Arabidopsis thaliana: one gene and its partner. The protein of the gene in region 1 interacts with the protein of each later gene in a pairwise test. Each region holds a gene or a part of one and is shown on either strand. Other genes may lie near its edges. The genes, in order: AHA10 and AT5G26250.

What was found.
Region 2: the proteins of AHA10 (region 1) and AT5G26250 interact in a protein complementation assay, tested with the Arabidopsis thaliana proteins (one large-scale study listed by BioGRID).

Annotation. Positions count from the first base shown.
Region 1 is NC_003070.9:5,902,068-5,910,444, forward strand, and holds AHA10 (autoinhibited H[+]-ATPase), read left to right. Parts: upstream 1-1,990; coding exon 1,991-2,056; intron 2,057-2,143; coding exon 2,144-2,263; intron 2,264-2,350; coding exon 2,351-2,449; intron 2,450-2,538; coding exon 2,539-2,676; intron 2,677-2,772; coding exon 2,773-2,907; intron 2,908-2,997; coding exon 2,998-3,177; intron 3,178-3,275; coding exon 3,276-3,482; intron 3,483-3,583; coding exon 3,584-3,703; intron 3,704-3,824; coding exon 3,825-3,944; intron 3,945-4,032; coding exon 4,033-4,155; intron 4,156-4,268; coding exon 4,269-4,373; intron 4,374-4,498; coding exon 4,499-4,643; intron 4,644-4,757; coding exon 4,758-4,919; intron 4,920-5,008; coding exon 5,009-5,247; intron 5,248-5,409; coding exon 5,410-5,442; intron 5,443-5,533; coding exon 5,534-5,615; intron 5,616-5,698; coding exon 5,699-5,859; intron 5,860-5,941; coding exon 5,942-6,115; intron 6,116-6,209; coding exon 6,210-6,392; intron 6,393-6,492; coding exon 6,493-6,647; and 3 more. Other genes in the region: RLP3 (receptor like protein 3), read right to left, coding at 1-1,372; AT1G17270 (O-fucosyltransferase family protein), read right to left, coding at 7,376-7,552, 7,745-7,994, 8,290-8,377. UniProt on the Arabidopsis thaliana protein: The plasma membrane H(+) ATPase of plants and fungi generates a proton gradient that drives the active transport of nutrients by H(+)-symport. The resulting external acidification and/or internal alkinization may mediate growth responses.
Region 2 is NC_003076.8:9,194,410-9,200,097, forward strand, and holds AT5G26250 (Major facilitator superfamily protein), read left to right. Parts: upstream 1-2,348; coding exon 2,349-2,478; intron 2,479-2,618; coding exon 2,619-2,938; intron 2,939-3,128; coding exon 3,129-3,755; intron 3,756-3,825; coding exon 3,826-4,272; 3' UTR 4,273-4,392; downstream 4,393-5,688. UniProt on the Arabidopsis thaliana protein: Mediates an active uptake of hexoses, probably by sugar/hydrogen symport.

The DNA of each region.
Region 1 (8,377 bases):
AAAAATTCTTTCCTATGAGGAGAGTGGACAGATTCCTGCAGCCCTGCAGAATTCCAAGAGCGCCTGTAATGTTCATCAGTTTATTGTCTGAAAGAGACAAGATCGATAGAGATTCAAGTTCCAGTACGTGAGGAGATATCTGTCCTGTTAACTTATTGCTTGCAAATCTCATCGCTGATAGAGATTTGCAGGAGTGAACCCTCCAAGGGAAATCACCGCTGAAGCTATTGTTTCCGAGATCTAGAATGCTAAGGCTCTGAAAGCGGGAAAAGTCAAGCTCTGATAAGGTTCCTTCCAGCCGATTAAGCCTCAGATTCAACTTGACGAGATTAGTACAATTTGCAAGAGAAGGCGGGACTGTACCAGTGATGTTATTGATATGGAGTTGGAGGCTTTGCAGGCGAGAGAGCTGACCTATGTCCATTGGTATTTCTCCTCCAAGGTGATTGGAGTACAGCTCGAGCGATTTTAGTTTTGTGAGGTGGGTGATGTCATCATTGATCTTTCCAGAAAGATGATTGACGGGTAGAAAGAGTTGCTCGAGCTCCGAAAGATTGTATATGTCACTTGGGATTTCACCAGAGATATTGTTGAAGCCTGCTTGTAGAACACTTAGCTTCAAACATCTCCCTAGTCCTTGCGGAATATTACCGGTAAAATCATTGTAGGAGAAATCCAGTTTGCTGAGCTGCGGTGAACTCTTGCACATAAACGAAGGGATTGAGCCTGTGAAGCTGTTCTTGCTGACATTGAAACTGATTAAATCGAAAGTTCCTTGCATAAAAATAGAACTAGGGAGGATTTCGCCTTGGAGAAAATTGCTTGACAGATCAACTATCCGAATTGGGAAACATCTGTTGCTTCCATTTCTAAATGTTTGTTCAACTGGCAACTCACCATCGAGGCTGTTGTAACTAAGATCAAGAACTTTGAGCTGATCAAGGGCTGAGAGAAAGCCAGATGGGAGATGACCGGAGAGACGGTTATGAGAAAGATTGAGTTGAGAGAGATGGTGGAGACGCAGAACAGACAAAGGGAGTTTACCATATAGTGCTCTAAAGGGCAATGAGATTGCAGTGATGTGGCTATCCGGGGAATCATCGCAGGTTATTCCTTCCCATGAGCAACAATCAATGGATGGGTTCCAATTCAGAGGAGAAACAGAAGAAGAAACGTTTCCAGAGAACCACAGTAGGGATTCTCGATCTTGCGAGTTGCAGAGAGCCTCTGAAACTGCAATAGAAAGGACACTGATGAAAAGAACACACTGAAGGAGTATGCCAATCATGTGAAAACTCAGAGCTTGTATTGGTCTTGTGGTTGATGAAGTTCTCACAAAACCTTTGGCTTTGAATCTCCCCTCATTAGTCATGGTGAGAACAAGAACAAGACGAGAAACAGACAAAGAAGATGAAAAAACTTGTTGGCCAGTGTTGACTAAGGGGGAATAGCCCAGACATAACAAAATTAGACTTGTCGTACATCTTTAATATTTTTTTTATCTGTTTCTTTGTCCTGACGCTTTCATTATTCCTGTGATCAATTTTCTCATACCATTGGTCCATCGTTAATCCTTTCTCAATTTCATTTTCTACGTAACATGAGAGGAGACCAAGTCCTATGAGAACAGTTGACGTAACAGTGGTTGTTAAGTTAAGTTAAAAAGAGGAAGCTAGTGAGAGTGACCGTTAGGTAGAGAAGTGAGATCTTTAACCACTCTTCTTTCTCTCTCTCTCTGCTTTTTTCGTCGTCTTTCACATCTACTGTTCGCAAACTCTCTTATGCTTCCAATAATGGTGATACCAATTGAGACTTGCAGGAGAATCTCCTCTTCTCCACACTCTATCAACTGGTCAGCCATGGAATGGTCGTTTCAGTTTCAATATTCCTGGATTCTTTTTAAGGATTCCTGTTTCTCTTCTGTTCCTGGTATATTCTTAACGACGAAATTAGTATCGGATCCTGGTAATACATTTTGAAGCTTTTAAGTATGGCCGAGGATTTGGACAAGCCATTGCTGGATCCTGATACTTTCAACAGAAAAGGAATTGATTTGGTAAATGTTCCTTTTAACTGTATACTCTTATTAGTACTTGAATTCTTAGTGGCAAAAAAGGGTTTTGACCCTTCTTGAGCTTGACAGGGTATATTGCCGTTGGAGGAGGTTTTTGAATACCTAAGAACATCGCCTCAAGGGCTTTTATCTGGAGATGCTGAAGAGAGATTGAAGATATTTGGTCCTAACAGACTTGAAGAGAAACAGGTAATAAACATGACATTCTTCTTAGTGTTCCTGCCAATTGTCTCTATTATCTTGTGCTAACCGCCATTTAAAACAACAATGATACAGGAGAACAGATTTGTGAAATTCTTAGGTTTTATGTGGAATCCCTTGTCATGGGTTATGGAAGCTGCTGCATTGATGGCCATTGCCCTCGCTAATAGTCAAGTAAGACAACCACAGTTTTGCTACCATTTTCCATCCATGAGTGTTTATGAAAAAGCACCTTGAAACTCATGGTGAAAATGGTATTACAGAGTCTAGGTCCTGACTGGGAAGACTTTACTGGAATCGTTTGCCTTTTGCTGATCAACGCAACAATCAGCTTCTTTGAAGAAAACAATGCTGGGAATGCTGCTGCAGCTCTTATGGCTCGCTTGGCTTTAAAAACAAGAGTATGGCTCTTAACCTTCCTATGAGCCGAAACGGCAAAGTTAGCTGCACTTTAATTTCTATATTACCTTAAATTTGATTTAGATCCACTCTTATAGGTTCTTAGAGATGGACAGTGGCAAGAACAAGATGCTTCTATCTTGGTACCTGGTGATATAATTAGCATTAAGCTTGGGGATATCATTCCTGCAGATGCTCGCCTTCTTGAAGGAGACCCCTTGAAGATTGATCAGGTACGTCCAGAATATCTAGTCTCTATTCTTTTAGTGTGTACTATGTAAAGACTTTCTCTGACAGAATAGTTAAAACATTTATTCCTGCAGTCAGTGCTGACCGGAGAATCACTACCTGTGACCAAGAAGAAGGGTGAACAGGTCTTTTCTGGCTCTACTTGTAAACAAGGTGAAATAGAAGCTGTTGTGATAGCAACTGGATCGACCACCTTCTTTGGAAAAACAGCACGCTTGGTGGACAGTACAGATGTAACTGGACATTTTCAGCAGGTTTTCCTTCTTTCTTTCCCTTTTGGTTGGATAGAACCTGATTAGTGAACTTGGAATCTGGAAAAACCGAATGTAGTCTTTGACATGTTTTCTTCTAGGTTCTTACATCGATTGGAAACTTCTGCATTTGCTCCATTGCTGTTGGAATGGTTCTTGAAATCATTATCATGTTCCCTGTACAACATCGCTCTTACAGAATTGGGATCAATAATCTTCTTGTACTACTGATTGGAGGGATACCCATTGCCATGCCCACTGTACTATCTGTAACGCTTGCCATTGGATCTCATCGACTTTCACAACAGGTACATCCCACTTTAAGCTGCTGAATGCAAAAGGAAGTCCTTTGTTTGTTATTCTTTAAAACAGTTTGTTAGCAATAATCTGTTTCTTCATGTTCTCTAAGGGTGCCATTACGAAAAGAATGACCGCAATAGAGGAAATGGCTGGGATGGATGTACTCTGCTGTGATAAAACTGGAACCCTTACTTTGAACAGTCTTACCGTTGATAAAAATCTTATTGAGGTACCAATACTACAGATGCGACTTGAATTTCATCAAACAATACTGTTAAGAACAGTTGCCTCCTTCTTCATCGTCTTGTTCTCTATTGTTGGTGTTTAAATGTACAAATCCTTCTGCACAGGTATTCGTTGACTACATGGACAAGGATACAATTTTGTTGCTTGCAGGCCGAGCTTCACGACTAGAAAATCAGGATGCTATAGATGCAGCCATTGTTAGCATGCTTGCAGATCCCAGAGAGGTAGAGATGTTTCTCTAACATGAACTCTCTTTTATAAGACTATCACCTTCTTAGAAGTTTTTCTCATACAAAGGTTGTTTATCTGTAGGCACGTGCAAACATTAGAGAAATCCATTTCTTACCATTCAATCCTGTGGACAAACGTACTGCAATAACGTATATTGATTCCGATGGAAAATGGTATCGTGCTACCAAAGGTGCTCCTGAACAGGTATGTATTCTTAGCACTACCAAACTGACTCTAGTTGTAAAAATTTAGTGAATTTTTTTGTACTGTTTCCATGAAAGAAATACCATCACTAATACAACTGCACTATATTATAGGTTCTAAACTTGTGTCAGCAGAAAAATGAGATTGCGCAAAGAGTTTATGCCATCATTGATAGATTTGCAGAAAAAGGTTTGAGGTCTCTTGCGGTTGCTTATCAGGTAACATCATTGTCCTCTCCCTTTCTCTCTTGAGCTGGTTTTATCATAAGTGTACTTTTGAAGAAGAACGTTATGATGACATTAATTACTCCAATTCATTGCATCATTTAAATAATTGTTTCTAGGAAATTCCAGAGAAAAGCAACAACAGTCCTGGAGGACCATGGAGGTTCTGTGGTCTGTTGCCACTGTTTGATCCCCCAAGGCATGATAGCGGTGAAACCATCCTTAGAGCTCTTAGCCTGGGAGTTTGCGTTAAGATGATCACTGGTAAATCTTAACCTTTAGCTTGGTAGGCTTGGCCCGACAGAGAAACACATATACCCTTGTGAGTAAACGGTAAAACTCTGGGAAAATGAATGATAAGTTTGGAACCACATGTAGGTGATCAATTGGCGATTGCAAAGGAGACAGGCAGACGTCTTGGAATGGGAACCAACATGTATCCTTCTTCCTCTTTGTTAGGCCACAACAATGATGAGCATGAAGCCATTCCAGTGGATGAGCTAATTGAAATGGCAGATGGATTTGCTGGAGTTTTCCCTGGTCATATTCTAACACAACCTTAGTACCTACGAAATTTAAGATTTGCTCTCATTTCTAATCCCAAATTTTTTTTGTCTCTCATGTTACAGAACATAAGTATGAGATTGTAAAGATTTTACAAGAAATGAAGCATGTGGTTGGAATGACCGGAGATGGTGTGAATGATGCTCCTGCTCTCAAAAAAGCTGACATCGGAATAGCTGTCGCAGATGCAACAGATGCTGCAAGAAGTTCTGCTGACATAGTACTAACTGATCCCGGCTTAAGTGTAATTATCAGTGCTGTCTTGACCAGCAGAGCCATTTTCCAGCGGATGAGGAACTATACAGTAAGTACTAAAGTTATAGTTATACTACTATCATCTGATCCCTGATAGCTAAAGAAATGAAAAATCATATAATATAGGATATGGATTTCAAGTAGCCTGATGACATTCTCAACTAGCTTATGTTTTTCTCTGAATTACCGACTAATCAGTACGAATCTGCAGGTATATGCAGTCTCTATCACCATACGCATAGTGGTAAGGAGCTTCATGATACATGATCTAACTCATGTTAGTTAAGTTACATCAACTTACTTGAACTTTCTCTTCTTGACATTGTTTCATGCAGCTTGGTTTTACACTTTTAGCGTTGATATGGGAATACGACTTCCCACCTTTCATGGTTCTGATAATCGCAATACTCAATGACGGTAATCTCTTAATCAATAGCTTCATATTGATGTAACCTAATTTTTATCACTTTCAAACGCTATGTTTATCTCCTACGCATCAGGGACTATCATGACTATTTCTAAAGATCGAGTTAGGCCATCTCCTACACCCGAGAGTTGGAAGCTCAACCAGATATTTGCGACAGGAATTGTCATTGGAACATATCTAGCATTGGTCACCGTCCTGTTTTACTGGATCATTGTTTCTACCACCTTCTTCGAGGTATCTTCCTATCACTCAAAGTAAGTTAGATTTTGCTTACCGAGAAGAATGCATACCGGTGACCAATCTTTAATGGCTGCAGAAACACTTCCATGTAAAATCAATTGCCAACAACAGTGAACAAGTGTCATCCGCGATGTATCTCCAAGTGAGCATCATCAGTCAGGCACTCATATTTGTAACACGTAGTCGAGGCTGGTCATTTTTTGAACGTCCCGGGACTCTCCTGATTTTTGCCTTCATTCTTGCTCAACTTGTACGAATTCCCCATACTTCGCATTTTTTCCATCACAGAATGCTATATAGCACACATAGGTCGTGATATTGACTTGTCCATTTCATGTACACAGGCGGCTACATTAATTGCTGTGTATGCCAACATCAGCTTTGCTAAAATCACCGGCATTGGATGGAGATGGGCAGGTGTTATATGGTTATACAGTCTGATATTTTACATACCTCTAGATGTTATAAAGTTTGTCTTTCACTACGCATTGAGTGGAGAAGCTTGGAATCTCGTATTGGACCGTAAGGTTGGTACATGTCCTGTGTCTCTTGTCCTCTGCTTGTTAGTCAGTCTCACACTTAAACTATGCATTTTCTTGAAGATGAGACCGTTGGTTTGTCTTGCAGACAGCTTTTACTTACAAGAAAGATTATGGGAAAGATGATGGATCGCCCAATGTAACCATCTCTCAGAGAAGTCGTTCCGCAGAAGAACTCAGAGGAAGCCGTTCTCGCGCTTCTTGGATCGCTGAACAAACCAGGAGGCGTGCAGAAATCGCCAGGTTCTCTTTTTATCTATACCCCGTTTTGGGTATTCTCTTCCATTTTCACATACTACCAAAATAACTATATTGTTTTTCATTTGGTAGGCTTCTAGAGGTTCATTCAGTGTCAAGGCATTTAGAATCTGTGATCAAACTCAAACAAATTGACCAAAGGATGATCCGTGCAGCTCATACTGTCTAAAACACTCTCTTAGTTTTTCCCTATCTCAAAATTTACATAAAGAGGAATCGAACAATGTTGTGTTCCTCAGAGAAGTAAAAACAATATTTAGAGCATTCATATGATCTGTAGTCTGTAATGTAGTCTTGTTTTCCGGTGACAGCAGAAATTTCACCTGATATGCTCTGCTGAGATCAATTGTAGGCCATATATGTCGGTGTTTCACTGAACCTGTGATCATTGTTCATCACTTTGGTTAAATTGAAAAATCACCACTTTTATTTCCTGTGTAATCGAATATTTACTCTCTTGTTTTCAATTATTACTAATTTAGTCCACATTCCGTGTTGAATAAATCTTGGTTTATAATTACTTGTTTCAAAAGCAATCAAGCTGTTCTTATAGAACACAAAATTCTCAAGCAAATAAACTATATTTCACCGACAAAATTCACAAAACCGTCGGAAAAGAATCAAACGAATTTGACATTAAACCACCTACTATAATACAGGTAAAGAAGAAGAACCATGGAAACAGAGGAAAATTAACGAATGTGTTTACTTGTTTATTCATTTTCAGCTATGAAGTTTGGTTCTTCGCCTCGACAGAGATACTCATCGCACATAGATGAAGTTCCCCAGTCTTTTCTTAGCCGCAAGATATCCTCTGTAAAAGTAGAACCCGATGCTCCGATGAATACACTGGACATTGCACATATAGTCTTATCCAACATAGCATACACCTAACCATTCCAAAAACCAAAGCATAAGCAAGTGAATGTCTCGTCAAAGAATATCTACGAATTTTTCTCAGACCAAAGAATGTTACTAGATCATAGCCATTAGAATTGATTTCTGTTCAATACCACATTAGAGATACGGTTCAAGTAGAGAACAAGATCTTTGGCCCATAAACAAAGCAATAAGTGCGTTACCTGAGAGTCATCTTCTATACCATGTCTATACAACAACGAGTCCCACTTTTCTGCAGAGTTTTGAGGTGGACGTTTGACAAGGGGAACGACTTTTCCATCAACGACTACTAGTGACTGAAGAAGACCGGTTTCGCTTTCTGCAGCATCTGTTGAAAGGTAGATGACTGGAGCATTGGCCCTTTCCACCATCCGACTGATGCAGTCTGCAGCTTGTGGTATGGGATAAAAACAACTTGGCGATTTTGCATTGCTGGCCAGAAATCATTTCATTAGACAGAGCCAGCTATAAATGAGACACAGTTTGTCAAAATCCAATCCTAGTCCCTATATCAATCAGCACAGTATTCAATTGTTACACAGAAGTGCCTAAGTAAAGCAAATGACAAACTTCTGGATGGAGATATGTACTAATTAACAAACCAGGTGGAAAGGTGTTCTGGTATCCCAATCAATTGAGTGTGAGCTACACTATCAAGATACATAATGGCAACAATGGCAAGGTTCTGTAGCCTAAAAAGGGAGTGATGGCAACAAAAAAAACTCACCAGAACTTAAGGAACCCATGCCTACGGAGATGAAGCGAGATGAAATTCTTTCCTAAGAATGTCTGGATGAATCGTTGTGCCGTCACCA
Region 2 (5,688 bases), on another chromosome or scaffold:
TTCTTCGTCCATACAAGGATACAAGCTTGTTCCGCATGTTGCCACCCAAATCCGGTATGGAGGATATATGATCGTCTCTTGAGATGGGATTGTGTTGTTCGCTAACCGATCTCATTCTCCGTTCACAGAGAGTAGAAAGATTATATATGTAGAGGGCTTTTGATTGTTGTAATTGTGCAATCTTTGATTATTTTCTTGGTCACTGTAAAATAATCCAGCTTTTGATATATTTACTTGATTAACTTAAAAACCATATTGTAAACAAGAAAGAGAAAACCAGAATTTATCGGTCATACCGCCATGGAAAAATAAATCATATTTTAAAAAGTTGAAAATTTGGAAATAGATGAGATAATTTTATTATTACTAGATGAATACCCACGTTACGCGTGAGTTTGTTTCAAAAATTGTTAAAAAAAAATTATGTTGATTTTTCTTGTTGCTAATTTTTGCTTACTTTTTTCTTTGTTATTGTGTATTTAATCAAATTAATCTTAGGTAGTTACAGTTTTTATGATTAGATTCTTTTTTTACTTGAAATATCGATTTATACATTTTTATATATAAATATATAATTATTTATATTTCTAAGATTCTAATATTTTTTTCACCATCATGAATACATACATCAACAAGATAGGATATTTTTATACAATTAGATGTAGTTATGTTATTTGTGTGATGTGAAACTCGCGTAACTTGATTATAAATATAATTTCTTGTTTTGTGTACTCTCTTGATCTAATACTTCAATTACATCGTGATAAACTCATTATTATATACTAGATAAACATAAATTGAACAAGATCTCAAGAATTTTTATATGAAAATAAGAAAAGGAAAGCAAAAACTAAAATGTCATTTAATTCAACACTTTTATATATTTTACTATTGCATATAGCTATATATGAGAAAAGTCGTGTCTTAAATTCTTTTGTATGCCTAACATCTCAAAGGCTCATCACTTGAAAAAATTTGCATGTCAATATTACCAACTTATCGGACACAAAAATAAAAAGAGAGAACGTTATATATTGAGTCAGATATGAACAACAAAACATAATAATGAGAAGTTCACAAAAAAAAATAATGAGAAAGACTCAAAGTAAAATTACTAAATTAATAAGAGTTTAGGTAGCAAACAACTAAATTACAAAAATAATAAAATGGTGAATATTGATAAAATCTTTTTAGTAAAATAAGAAGAATATAAAGAAAGTAGTGCTTTTTATTAACATAATTTTGTATTGTTTTTTTAAATTTTGAATAAATCACTTAAGAGTAGAATTGATGGAGGATTTAATGCTATAAAGAACTTTTATTTTTTTCATTTAATTTGGCTAATTTTTAATTTAAATAATCTAAAATAACACATGTCATTTTTTTTGTGATGATGTGCCAGTCATATGCAAAAAATTGACCAACTTTCGTATATATGATTTAGCTCTTTGTTTTTTTTAATGTTAATCATATACACTAAATTTTTTAATAAAACTTTTGGTTTTCGAAATAATTTTTTTGGTTTAAATCATAACTTTTAAAAACTTTGGTTTTTGAGAGAACTAAAATTACGAAGCTTTTTTCTTTTTTTCTATTGCTACAACTTCTCTAAACTTTTGTAATGAAAGAGGTAAACATAATAATTGAATATTCTCCTAATCTTTAGAAAATCAAATTGAGAAACTAAATTTGCATCTTTGTTCAACATCACAGTAGTCATGACTCATGAGTCATGATGACTCATCATACTAGAGTCTAGCAAATATATTCAATATTCATATGAAATTATACTATAATTAACTTTGACCATACAAGATTTTATCATTTATATTATGCAACAAAAAAGGAAAATATCTGTTTTATTCCAAAAAGAGAAGGAAAATATCTTTGATGGAAATAAAAAGGAAATGGGGATAGGTTTTGTTCTTGTTATATGTTTTGGATATAACCAAATCCAGACGTAATAAAGCCATCCATCGATGTTAATAACAATATATAAAAAAACTTACATGTAACAGCTACGAATTAAAAACCACTAAGTGAATAACTGACATTACGACAGCAAAATATTGAATGTAAGAACCCCAAAAGAGGATCAAAAACAATATTACTGATCCAAAATCTATTGACCAACCAATCATAATTTCATAACAAAATATTCCATATTTAGACAACCTCTTTATCTTCTTTTTGGTTTCTCTATCTTTCTGATCTGTATAAATATATGAACCTATCATTGTCTCATTTTTGTGTAAAGATTTGTGTCTGCTTCTTCTCTCGCTCTTCTTTACAAGACAGAGAAACACAGACACAAACAAAGATTTCTTAGAGAGCATAGACGTTAAAAAATGGCTGTGGTTATATCTTCTAATGGTAATTCCAAGTCTTTCGACGCGAAGATGACTGTTTATGTCTTCATCTGTGTCATTATCGCGGCTGTAGGCGGTTTGATCTTCGGTTACGACATCGGAATCTCGGGTTCGATTCTCTTCTCTAACGTTATTTTGTATCTTTTTCGCATTACTTATGGATTAAGAAACAGAATCTAGCCCTTTCTTTCTGATCAAGAAATGTTAAAAAGTACATATACTTAACCAAAATTTCATTATGAAAAATAGGTGGAGTAACGGCGATGGACGATTTCTTGAAGGAATTTTTCCCATCTGTGTACGAAAGGAAGAAGCATGCGCATGAGAACAACTATTGCAAGTATGACAACCAGTTCTTGCAGCTCTTCACTTCCTCTCTATACCTAGCGGCTCTAGTGGCTAGCTTCTTTGCTTCGGCTACATGCTCTAAGCTCGGACGCAGACCCACAATGCAACTCGCTTCCATCTTCTTCTTGATCGGTGTTGGCCTTGCCGCGGGAGCTGTTAACATATACATGTTGATCATTGGTAGAATCTTGCTTGGATTCGGTGTTGGCTTTGGTAATCAGGTATAATGTTATATGATCTTTTTTTATTTCAAGTTTAGTTTGTGTTTAGGCTGAGATGCTACAAGATATGAATTTTCACTGAATTTTTGGTCTGGTTTAGTTTATATGCATTTTAGTTTGTATGAGATCTTGAATTTTCTGGTGTTCTTCAATGACTAAACATTGTAGAATGTGTCTGATTTTCTTGTAGGCGGTACCGCTTTTCTTATCAGAGATTGCTCCCGCGAGGCTTCGTGGAGGTCTCAACATTGTTTTCCAACTTATGGTTACAATTGGAATCCTAATTGCTAACATAGTCAACTACTTCACCTCCTCAATTCATCCTTACGGATGGAGAATTGCCCTCGGTGGCGCGGGAATTCCGGCTCTCATCCTCCTCTTTGGATCGCTTCTCATCTGCGAAACACCCACTAGTCTCATCGAACGGAACAAAACCAAGGAAGGAAAAGAAACACTCAAGAAGATCAGAGGCGTTGAAGATGTTGATGAGGAGTATGAATCAATAGTCCATGCTTGCGATATCGCAAGGCAGGTCAAGGACCCTTACACGAAACTGATGAAACCCGCGAGCAGGCCGCCTTTCGTGATTGGAATGTTGCTACAGTTTTTCCAACAGTTCACTGGAATCAACGCGATTATGTTCTACGCTCCGGTTTTGTTCCAGACTGTAGGGTTTGGAAATGACGCAGCTCTGCTTTCCGCGGTTGTCACGGGAACGATCAACGTTCTCAGCACGTTTGTCGGGATTTTCCTTGTCGACAAAACTGGCCGAAGATTTCTATTGCTCCAATCTTCCGTTCACATGCTCATATGCCAGGTAACATTAGTTAAGTTAACTTTTCTTGTGTCACAAGCGATCCTCCTAAACTAACAATTTTCTCAAACAGTTGGTCATTGGAATCATCCTAGCCAAGGACCTAGACGTGACGGGTACGCTAGCACGGCCACAAGCCCTAGTAGTGGTGATCTTCGTGTGTGTTTACGTGATGGGTTTCGCTTGGTCATGGGGCCCTCTAGGATGGCTAATCCCTAGTGAGACCTTCCCCTTGGAGACTCGAACGGAAGGGTTCGCATTGGCCGTGTCTTGCAACATGTTCTTCACGTTCGTGATCGCTCAGGCCTTCCTATCGATGCTTTGCGCGATGAAGTCAGGGATATTCTTCTTCTTCAGTGGTTGGATCGTTGTGATGGGACTTTTCGCTTTGTTCTTCGTGCCGGAAACGAAAGGAGTCTCCATTGATGACATGAGAGATAGTGTGTGGAAGCTACATTGGTACTGGAAGAGGTTTATGCTCGAGGAAGATGAGCATGACGTTGAGAAGAGAACTGATTGAGCTTGTTGATCGATCACATTCTTTCTCTAACTTTCCTTAGTTTTTTTTTTGTCATATGGGGAACAACATACAGTAATAAGAGACCAACTTGTTATTCTTGTATTATAATATGCTTTCTTCAGGTTTGGTATCTTACATAAAAAAAGAAAACTCCAGGGTCATACAATTTTTATGTGTTTTAAGTCACTTGATACAAGATAAATATTGTTCATAATAAAATAAAGTTGTTGTTTTACAGTGGGTAAAAGTGTCACATTATTATCAACGATTGATCCATGTACAATACTTTCTATGTTCCTTAATATTTGATTTAAAAAAAAAAAACACATGTTAAGAAAACATATTAAAAAATGATTCTAAATATTTTGTTTTTTGTGATTTATATTTGTTATAATTTTAAACCAATAATATTTAACTATTTATTTTGAAATTTGATATTCATCAATAATAACTAATTAATATTGCTTAGGAAACCTAAAAAATCAATCTGTTAAAAACATTTTTTTTTCTTTCAAAAAAATCAAATAATAAGAAACAGAAGGAGTAATTAACAAATTATCACCCGAAAATATTCGGTGCTCCATTTGTTTCTGATTTTAGTTGTGGATTTCGAATTGAAAATTTTATTTTATTTTATTATACAACATTTGCCATTTTATTTCCACAGAAAAATCTGAATACTGAGAGTGAGAGGTACATGGTCATGAACTCATGATCACATGGTTTTGGTAGCACATGGAACTGCATTTCAGTTCTACATGTAGTTGTAAACATCAGAATAACTACATGTATGGCTATATGCATGTAAAACCGCAGTTGTCCGTATTCACAAACGTACCAATTTTTAACCGCTAAAATAGTCGTTCAAAATGCTTTAAAACCGCAATCGCAGGCATCCATAAATTCTCGCAGTCGTGATCGCACGTCAGCTCCGTTTAAACATGTCAAGCCTTGAGTCGATCATTACAATAATATCTCGTGTACCACGTTATGCTTAAAAAAATTAATCATATCTTAAACACTTGCCTTGCCACCCACTACTTCTAGATCTCCCACAAATCCACAGAAATAATATATATGGTACTTAGAAAAATCATAAAAATATCAAATACCAAATTGAAGTCTCTGGCATGAGTCGGTCACTACAATAATAACTAAACTGAAATACATTTTATGGCTAATTGATGCAGAACCTGAAATTAAAAAAAATTAAAGATACAACAAACCATACCTTTTTGTCTTTTTTTTTTTTTAATTATTTTAAAGATAACTCATTTATTTTGAATGTATGTACGCAGTTTTCGGTTCCGTATTGTGTATTCATAGTCTACCATAAAATTTAACATCTACCTTTCCCAATGGACCCAAACGCTTCGAATTGAACATGGGCGTTGCTTTCTCTTGTGAGTTGTATCT